Linked DNA regions of Oryctolagus cuniculus. The protein of the gene in region 2 purifies or fractionates together with the protein of the main gene of each other region. This does not show direct contact. Links are inferred from orthologs where the notes say so. Each region holds a gene or a part of one and is shown on either strand. Other genes may lie near its edges.

Evidence for each region. The genes of interacting proteins can lie anywhere in the genome.
Region 1: the proteins of RPP21 (region 2) and RPP40 purify together in Homo sapiens (co-immunoprecipitation; 3 studies listed by BioGRID and IntAct, counting the BioPlex papers as one, with this or other methods). This does not show direct contact. The link is inferred for Oryctolagus cuniculus from reciprocal best matches to the Homo sapiens genes RPP21 and RPP40.
Region 3: the proteins of RPP21 (region 2) and RPP30 purify together in Homo sapiens (co-immunoprecipitation; 3 studies listed by BioGRID and IntAct, counting the BioPlex papers as one, with this or other methods). This does not show direct contact. The link is inferred for Oryctolagus cuniculus from reciprocal best matches to the Homo sapiens genes RPP21 and RPP30.

What each region holds. Positions count from the first base shown.
Region 1 is NC_091436.1:165,377,045-165,380,579, forward strand, and holds part of RPP40 (ribonuclease P protein subunit p40), read left to right. Parts: intron 1-125; coding exon 126-251; intron 252-3,535. UniProt on the Homo sapiens protein: Component of ribonuclease P, a ribonucleoprotein complex that generates mature tRNA molecules by cleaving their 5'-ends. Also a component of the MRP ribonuclease complex, which cleaves pre-rRNA sequences.
Region 2 is NC_091436.1:139,948,105-139,952,307, forward strand, and holds the start of RPP21 (ribonuclease P protein subunit p21), read right to left. Parts: upstream 2,824-4,203; 5' UTR 2,747-2,823; coding exon 2,690-2,746; intron 2,611-2,689; coding exon 2,510-2,610; intron 2,430-2,509; coding exon 2,347-2,429; intron 362-2,346; coding exon 236-361; intron 96-235; coding exon 1-95. UniProt on the Homo sapiens protein: Component of ribonuclease P, a ribonucleoprotein complex that generates mature tRNA molecules by cleaving their 5'-ends.
Region 3 is NC_091446.1:39,509,014-39,511,254, reverse strand, and holds the end of RPP30 (ribonuclease P protein subunit p30), read left to right. Parts: intron 1-1,515; coding exon 1,516-1,625; 3' UTR 1,626-1,711; downstream 1,712-2,241. UniProt on the Homo sapiens protein: Component of ribonuclease P, a ribonucleoprotein complex that generates mature tRNA molecules by cleaving their 5'-ends. Also a component of the MRP ribonuclease complex, which cleaves pre-rRNA sequences.

The sequences.
Region 1 (3,535 bases), about 25 Mb from region 2:
AATTTTCACTATCTGTGATATTTTTAAAATTTCTGATTTACAGAATACAACACTTGTCTGCAGTGCAGGCTGTATGTGATGTATATGTATGCATAAAATGTGTATTCCTTCTTGCATTTTTAAAGTCGTTTCCGTTGATTTGATGGAGTTATCCTTTAACCTGAATTCTAAGAAGTATAAGAGAACATCTTGGTCCTTCAAAGAAAAGAAGCCCCTGAAGTTCAATTTTCTTTTCGCTTGGCACAATACAGGTATGAAGAATAAATAACACGACAGTGCGGTGAGTTTGAAGTCTAATTGTTAGGTACAGAGGAATAATGGGAGTGAATGGTGGTTCATCCCTGTGGTCAGGGTTCTGTCATATACATGTGTGTAACTATCCCTGTGGTCAGGGTTCTGTCATACATGTGTGTAACCATCCCTGTGGTCAGGGTTCTGTCATACATGTGTGTAACCATCCCTGTGGTCAGGGTTCTGTCATATACATGTGTGTAACCATCCCTGCGGTCAGGGTTCTGTCATACATGTGTGTAACCATCCCTGTGGTCAGGGTTCTGTCATATACATGTGTGTAACCATCCCTGTGGTCAGGGTTCTGTCATACATGTGTGTAACCATCCCTGTGGTCAGGGTTCTGTCATACATGTGTGTAACCATCCCTGTGGTCAGGGTTCTGTCATATACATGTGTGTAACCATCCCTGCGGTCAGGGTTCTGTCATATACATGTGTGTAACCATCCCTGTGGTCAGGGTTCTGTCATACATGTGTGTAACCATCCCTGTGGTCAAGGTTCTGTCATATACATGTGTGTAACCATCCCTGTGGTCAAGGTTCTGTCATACATGTGTGTAATAGTCTTGGTTGTTATATATATATAATATATATATTTGACAGCAGAGTTAGACAGTGAGAGAGAGAGAGAGAAAGGTCTTCCTTCTGTTGGTTCACTCCCCAAATGGCCACCACGGCCAGCACGTTGCGCCGATCCGAAGCCAGGAGCCAAGTGCTTCCTCCTGGTCTCCCATGGGGTGCAGGGCCCAAGCACTCGGGCCATCCTCCACTGTCTTCCCGGGCCACAGCAGAGAGCTGGACTGGAAGAGGAGCAACTGGGACTAGAACCCGGTGCCCACATGGGGTGCTGGTGCCGCAGGCAGACGATTAACCTAGTGAGCCATGGCGCCGGCCCCCATTGGCTATTATATTTTAAATTAATATCAATTATGGATGCATCTGTGGCCTACTTACGCATTGTGAGGAAATAACTCACACATGTCATTAAATACTTGTAACTTTTAATTGATTATAACACTACATTTGGCCGGCGCCGCGTCTCACTAGGCTAATCCTCCGCCTAGCGGCGCCAGCACACCAGGTTCTAGTCCCGGTCGGGGCGCCGGATTCTGTCCCGGTTGCCCCTCTTCCAGGCCAGCCCTCTGCTGTGGCCAGGGAGTGCAGTGGAGGATGGCCCAAGTGCTTGGGCCCTGCACCCCATGGGAGACCAGGAGAAGCACCTGGCTCCTGCCATCGGATCAGCACGGTGCGCCGGCCACAGCACGCCGGCCGCAGCGGCCATTGGAGGGTGAACCAACGGCAAAAGGAAGACCTTTCTCTCTGTCTCTCTCTCTCACTGTCCACTCTGCCTGTCAAAGAAAAAAAAAAAAACCACTACATTTAGTTCAGATTGCCATGTTTTTGAACATGTTAATCTGCTTTGACTGTCGAGTGGATTGCCCCTTTCAGAAGTGAATCTTCTGTGCTTCCCAAGCTTACGCTAATCAGATCGGTGGGCATCGCGATGGTGAGGTGCTGGGGAAGCGCAGGGCTCTGCCCCTGAAGGCGAGTCTCTGGTCGCTGCCTGCCCTCGCCGCCTTCAGGAGCCCTGTTTCTGTAGGACCTCGCGCATACTTGCGCGTGTGGTAGGAAAGGAGCAGAGAGAGTTCCTGAAGTGTCAATTGCTTGAATCCTGTGAAGCCACCACACTTGGCTGTGAATAGCTCCTGTTCCTAAGACTCTTGAGTCCTTCAAGGATTTGTTAGGGACTCTGAAAGGTCTGGGATTTCACTTCACTTGCAGGCTTACCAGGTGGCCTCCCGGAGTCTTGGGGTTGCTGGAGTAAGATATGATATTGTTGGGTCAGAGACAGTGGACTTAATTCCTCAAAGCAGTAGCAGTGGGCAGCGTCTATTCGTCAGGATTCTCCAGAGACAGAACCAAAAGGTGGATGCATGGGCGGATAGAAGAGTGGATAGATGATGGGTGGGTGGACGGATGAATAGGTGGATGGGTGCACGGGTGGGTGGTTGGATAGTAAATGTATGGGTGCATTTACTACGGCTGATGTGAGTATGGAGGTTGAGAAGTCCTCTGTAGTTGTCTGTAAGCTGGGGACCTAAGGATGCTAGTGGTATGGCTCAGTCCCCGTCAGAGTTTCGGAACTGGGGAGCCAGCGTTGCAGCTGCTGGGGTTCCAGAGGCTTGGGTCTTGGAGTTTTGCTGTTTAGCAGCAGGAGAAAAGGATGTCCCCGCTTGAGAGAGAGGACAGATTTGCCTTCCTTCTGTCCTGTGCTCTCTGGGCCTTTGGTGGACAAGATGGTGCCCACCCATGTTGAGGGCAGATCTTCTCCACTTGGCTTGGCAACTCATATGCCAGCCTCCTCCAGAAATGTCCTCGCAGATAGACCGGAGGTCGGCTTTACCACAGCTGCGGTACCCTCGGAGCAGGCCAGTTGACACCAGGTGTCAGCATTAGCACCGGTTACCAAGTCCCAGTTCCCATGGCGTGACCCGGAGTTGGGCAGGTAGTGCTGGCATTTGCCATAGGTTCTATCATGGGAGAACCCAGAACTTCAAGAATTCACATTTTTTTTTTAAAGTATTTTATTTAAAAGGGAGAATGACAGAGAAGGTGAGACATAGAGAGATCTTCCATCCACTGGTGCACTCCCCAAATGGCTGCAATGGCCAGGATCCTGGAACTCCATCCGGTCTCCCACGTGGGTGCAGGGGCCCAAGCACCTGGTCCATCTTCCTCTCCTTTCCCTGGGGCATTAACATGGATCTGGATCAGAAGCAGAGCAGCCAGGACTTGAACCAGCACCCTGATGGGATGGCAGCCTCACAGGCAGCGGCTTAACCTGCTGCACCACAGTGGCAGCCCCTGGAATTCCCTCTGCACTGTGCAGGCAGCCGGATGAGCTCTGGACAGTGAGCAGGCCTGCCCCGTGCTCCACCAGGGGTCCGTCTTTCTCTCTTCCGAGGTCGTTGGCTCTGCAGACACTCCTGAAAGACACCCTAGATTTTACTGGGTTTTCCAGGGCAAGCTCAAATGAGACTTTATCATCATTAGTTCTGCTTCTGTTTCCTACGTAGAGACTGTACAGCTGTGTTCCGTTCTCTGTAGAGCTCACCAGTGTTAGTCATCCATAAAGAATGTATCAGCTGAAGTTTCCTTGTGAGGGCAAACAGTGGAACTCGTGTGGGTCTGGTCGGAAAGTGTACTTTTCCAGGAAAACGTGAACGGAGACGAGTGTTTAC
Region 2 (4,203 bases):
CTGGTGACTGGAGCTCTGGGCCTGCACCTTCTCCTTAGGCAGGTGGGCTGGGTCGGAGTGGGCTGTGTTTGGCCCAGGCTGTGGCGGTTTGGGATCTGGGTAGATGAGCAGAATTGGTTTTCTGAGACTGTGGCTCTTGACACCCACCAGAACCCATCCATGTCTCTTCTTCAACTCTCCAAGCCCCACCCCCACCCCTAAATGGGTGTCCCCATTTTTCTTTACCGCCTCTCACCTGCCTGACTCCCCAGCTGGGCCTCAGGCCGGTCTCCCCAGAGCAGATGCCTGGGATCATTGAGGAACCGTTGGCTGCGCTGACATGTTAGACAGGTCTGGACTGTCCAGCGCTGTCCCTTGCAGCCTGGAATGAAAGTGAGAGAAAGGAAGAGTGCTAAATTTAGCAGAAGAAAAGGTCTCTTGCAACCAGTTTTGCCTCCATTATTATTATTATTTTAAATTTATTTGAGGGGCGGCACCATGGCTCACTTGGTTAATCCTCTGCCTATGGCACTAGCATCCCATATGGGCGCTGGGTTCTAGTCCCGGTTGCTCCTCGTCCAGTCCAGCTCTCTGCTGTGGCCTGGGAGGGCAGTGGAGGATAGCCCAGGTGCTTAGATCCTTGAACCTACATGGGAGACCAGGAAGAAGCACCTGGCTTTGGATTGGCGCAACGCTGGCCGTAGCGGCCATTTGGGGAGTGAACCAATGGAAGGAAGACCTTTCTCTCTGTTTCTCTCTCTAACTGTCTATAACTCTGTCAAATTAAAAAATAAATAAAAAAATTTATCCGAAAGGCAGAGTTACAGAGAGAGGAGAGACAGAGGTCTTCTACCTGCTGCTTCACTCCCTGGACACTGGCCCCAAGGGCCAGACGTAAGCCATGAGCCCAGAGCTTCTTTCAAGTCTCCCACGTGGGTGCCCATGTACAGGGCCCACGTGCTTGTACTTCTGCTGCTTTCCCAGGGACATTAGCAAGGACCTAGATTGGAAGTGGAGCAGCTGGGTCTCGAACCAGTGCCCATACAGGATGCTGGCATAGCAGGTGGAGGCTTAACCTTGTATGCCACAAGACCAGCCTTGCCTTTACTATTTTTAGGAGGAATTCCACCCCTACCTCCACTTTATATGCAAATATGATGGTGTGAGGCCCCAGCACAGCTTTATCCATTTCTTAGAAATCTTTAAAGTCCAAATTAAAAAAAAAAAAAAGAATTAAAAATTGTATTTGAGGGGCTGGTGCTATGGCATAGCAGGTAAAGCTGCCACTTGCAGTGCTGGCATCCCATATGGGCACCAGTTGGAGCCCCAGCTGTGCCATTTCCGATCCAGCTCTCTGCTATGCCCTGGGAAAGCAGTAGAAGATGGCCCAAGGCCTTAGGCCCCTACACCTGTGTGGGAGACCCGGAAGAAGCTCCTGGCTTTGGATCAGCGCAGTTCCAGCCATTTGGAGAGTGAACCAGCAGATGGAAGACCTCACTCTCTCTTTCTCTCTCTGCCTCAGCCTCTCTGTAACTATGCCTCTCAAATAAATAAATAAATCTTAAATTTTTTTTTTTATTTGAAAAGCAGTTAGAGAGAGAGAAAGGGAGAGAGATATATTTTCTATCTATTTTCTATCTGCTGGTTCACTCCCCAACAGTCCTCGGAGTCTCCCACGTGGGTGCAGGGGCCCAAGCACCTGGGCCATCCTCCACTGCTTTCTCAGGCACATCAGCAGGGAGCCGGAGAGGAAGTGGAGCACCGGGGACTCCCCTGGGTCCATATGGATGCTGGCGTATGCTAGCGGCACAGGCCGGGGCTTTACCTGCTATGCCACAGTGTGGACCACCACACTGTAAACTTCTAACAAGAGTCTTGCCCTGGCCTGTTTCCCTCTTCAGCCCTGTCTTGTCCTGCTACCTCAAGCTCCAGCTTCCTGTACTTCTACAGCACCACCAACTCCCTCATCATGGAATCCTCCCCCGTGCCTAGAGCGCCCATCTCGCTCCCTTTGTTGAGCCTCTCCATCACTGGCATTTTCTACACTGCCCTAACTGCTAGGATCTTTAATCCATCAGGCTGTAATTTCAGAGACAACTTCCTGGGTTGTGGCAGTGGAACGGTGTCCTACGCGACACCCAATGCCACCCGTTATTATGCACAGGTGGGGCTGCCTCTTACGGCAACATCATGTGTCTGCCGCACAGGTGGGGCCTAAAAACGAACTCCAAACCCTAGTTTGTTCTAGTGCAGTCGGCAACTTAACTCAGAGCTGGAGACTGCTCCTCAGCCCGACCCCCGCCTAGAGGCGCCCCCACCCCACCCCCACCCCCGCCCCCAAGCCCACAATCCTGCAGGACCACTCACGTCTCTGGCGCTGGGTGCAGGTGAGGCCCGGGATGAGCGGGGAAGAGCAGCCACGGCAGAGGGTCCTCTTCACCGAGGGGTCCCTGGGGGCAGAGGCAAAGGTGGTCCGGCCGCCCGCTCCACGGCCCGCGTCCCCCCGCCGCCAGCTGCGCGCCCGTCTCACCGACGCAGGACGAGCCGCTTGGCGATGGTCCGCTCAGTGTGGCAGTAGAATCTGGCCAGCGCCTGGTTCTCGGGGTCCTGCGCAAGGACGCAGTGGGCGGCCTGGGCGGCCGGGGCGGGGTCACCTCGGCGCCGAACGCACGAGGTCCGCGTCCCTCCGCACGCCCTGGCCGGGACTCACCTGGTAGAGGAAGTTGAGCCTCAGGAAGGCCTCGCGGTCCTTGACCGGGCCCGCCATGGGCGCAGTGCCGGCCCTCGTAGGACCGCCTCCAGCCCCGCCCACGGCGCCGCGCGAGGCCTGCTGGGAAGTGTAGTCCCACGGGGCCCGCGCCCCGGCTGGCCGCCCCAGCACCCTGAGTGGGCAAGCCCAAGCCCTGCCTTCCAACCCTTGAGTCCGTTCTGGAGTTTGGGAGTCCTTCCAGACTTCCGCAAGCCCACGGTTCGGCTATCGGAGTGGGAGAGGATCTTAAAAAGTGCTACACATTTTCACGAGAGAGGACCGGTGTCTAAGACAGACAGCCGGGTATACCCAGCTAGACCTGCGCACCAGTCTCCTAAGCCGAAGGCAGACACCTAGATCTGGTGGGACAGAGGCTACATGTCCACACAGCCATAGGGGCCCACGAGCTTTGTGAAGAGGGTGAGGATCGCGAAAACACAACTTACTCTCTTTTCCACCCACCCGGGAAACACACTGTGCTTGTTACACGGTGCTGTTAACACACCAGGTGAGCCCCACTTGTGCCAACAGTTTCCAACCCCTGGCGTATAGCGCGGAAACCTGTCAGCAGCAGCCCCACCCCAGCCCACACCCTGACCTTTCTCTCCCTCCAGTTTCTTCTGTCTGCCATCCCGTTCACCTGATTCTTCACCTGATTCTCGGTGGCCGCCAGCTGCACAACGCAAACATGAGGTGGGCAGGATGTGCATGAGCGGCTAGCACAGGTCAGGAGAGGGTGAGCCGCCTCTCTCCTTTAGGGGCCCCTGCCACCAGGCGACAGAGGACCAGGCCTCCTGCTCAGGGGAAGGAAAGTGGCTGACACTTGGGATGTCTTGCAGGGGTCCTCAGACTCAGGTGAGTTTAATGCCGATGCCTAGGCCCGCACAGGCCCTGACCGAACAAAGAGAGGGGGAGGCCCAGGAGCATGCGTTTTGAACACCCATCAACACAAAGCCATTGCCAAATTACCACACAACACAGAGGTCACTTCAGTGGATCCTTTGTTCCATATAATTTTTACCAACCAGAGTTATCCTGCCACAAAGAACCACAGTCAAGGCACAAAGGTAAGAGGAGGAGAGTGGACACAGTCCTGCTGAGGTGGTAGAACTGAAATGCCCTCGATAAACTGCAGTTTCTTGTCCTGGTCTTCTGTGGAGATTGACCCAAGCAGCAGATAATCCAAGACGTTGTGTTTTGGTTTGGCATGCATTGCTTTCCTTGTTTTTTTTGTTTCTTTATTTGGATCACTTATGTACCCTACTGGTTGTTTGTTTTGGCCTAACATTAAGATGATTTACATTCTCTGAAAAGGGGAATGGCAAAGGGTGAACGATGGCAACAGACAAGCCAAAGCCTGCCTTGTGTGAACAGCAATACCAGGCCAGACGCACACAGGCCCAAGGAAGTTGCTATCTGGCCTTTTCTTACACACACCGCCCGCTTCTCACCTGTCCTCAGGGTGAGAAAGACTC
Region 3 (2,241 bases), on a different chromosome or scaffold from region 2:
CCCTCACTTCTTTACTTTCTGTAGCTTACGAAATGAATATAGATTATATTAAAGAAATAAATATTAAACATATTCTCTCAAGCTATATGTGTGTGTTCCCCTGCCCACATTTTGACAGGCTTCCTGTCTCTTTTCTCCTTTCTCTTCTCCAGAAGTCATGCCTTCCCTGTTGAAAGTCACTGTTTTAGGACACCAATATGTTAAAAATATATGTTGTCATTTATTAGGAAAACAGGAAAAGCAATTGTGTTTTTCAAAATCTGGTGAACAAAACTAAGACTAACTTTTGCATTTATTACAACTCAGGATGTTTCTTATTTTTCTTTACATGATCAAATATGTACAGACTGTACGTTTTTAGGAGTTATTTATTTATTTACTTGAGGGGCAGAGACATAGAGACAGATAGAGGTACCTCCCACGCATTGGTTCACTTTTCAAATGCCCGCAGTGGCCAGGGTTGGACCTGAGCCATTGCCTGGAGCTGGGAACACAAACCAGGTCTCCCATGTAGATGGCAGGAACCTAATTACTTGAGCCAACACTGCTGCCTCCCAGGAGCTGTATTAGCAATATGGGACATAGACGTCCTATCCAGTAGGTTAAACTCCCACCCCAGTGCTGCTTGTCACGGGGCAGCAGGTCCGATAGAGCTCCTCAGGGCCAGCCTGGGGAGCTCAGAGGCCAAGCGGGATGATGAGGAAGGAACCACACCAGAGCTGGGAGATCAGTCAAGGCCCAGGGGAGGGGAAGAGCTTTTATAGACACAGAAAAGGGGCTGTCCAGGCCACAAGGGAACCAGCTGAAAGGTAAGGCAGGGCACGCCCTCAAGGGCCTATCACAGCCAAGGACACACACTGTTCACGACTACAGAAGTCTCCTGTCAGGCTAGGTACCTCCCCCGGGGTCCATCTTGGGTTGTTGGAAACGCTGAGTCACTGGGATGCGGAAGTGTGGCAAACTCAGCGGCCTTTTAACAACTTTTTTTCCTTTTCAACTGGAGCTCCCCCTACACCTCAGGCTGTATATCTTTTTTATCTATGTTTTACTTACGTATCTGTACCTCTTCACCTGAATTCCACTACTAGAATCCACTAGAATTTTATGATAAAAATTAAACTAAAAGTATGTGGTATGCCAAAACTTTGGAAAAATGAAGTTTCAGTAGAGCTTAAACCCAGATGAATTGTAAGTGTCACAATAGGTTGCTGCAGGGGCTGATGCTGTGACCTGCACAGCTGCTTGCAATGCCAGTATCCCATATGACAGTGCTGGTTCGAGTTCTGGTTGTCCCACTTCCATTAGGAGTGAATTACAGGGTACTAATATGTGTGCTATCTGTGTATATCAAGAAAAACTATATTGACAGTGAGTGGTGTTGGCATTGGCACCCATAGCAGTTCACTTTGGTTTTATCACTTACTAGAGTGTAAGCCAGTATGATGTTTGTTAAACCATGTCTTTATAAATTATATCCTAATTTCAGGCACTATGGTTTCCTTGTTTGTTTTACAGAAACCAGAAAAACTGCTTTTGGAATTATCTCCACCGTGAAGAAACCTCGGCCATCAGAAGGAGATGATGATTCTCTCCCAGCTTGCAAGAAAGCGAAGTGTGAGGGCTGAAAACACACTCCAGCCTCCACAGCCTCCCTTGTGTCATTCATCAGCCACAACAAAAATAAAACCTGGATTGTCGTTTGCAATTCTCATTTGAAGCTAGAAATCAAGTCTCTAAAAAATTTTACATTCAGTCATTTAACAATAAGCAGAACCTAGTGCAGCCTTTTTAAAGGCTGCCGGCTTAATGAATTTAGAAACATTTTAAGAGGAAGACAGACTGCTTTATTCGTCCTTTGTGTATGTGGTAAATAACAGCAGTAGACTTGCATAAGATGTTTCAGTATTTCAGGACACTTTCAAAATGTCTCCTGTTCATTTAAAAACTCATGCCTTCCTACTTGTTATATACAGTGGCTTATTTTTTAATCTTACCACTCAAGAAGTAATTTTGAGGACTATTAAACCTTACATTAAGAGGGTTACTTAATTGATCTATTCATGTTTTAAGCTTTTCTGTCAGTGTATTTATCAAGTTAGAGTTCTTTCTAAAAGGAATTGCCATAGAATTTATGGAAGGAGAGAAGATACACATGTAAAATTAGACTTGGCCTCTTCCTTCACTGCTTACTTCGTGATATCTTTGAAATAAGATTACTTTTGGTTGGAACCCCTGGAGGCC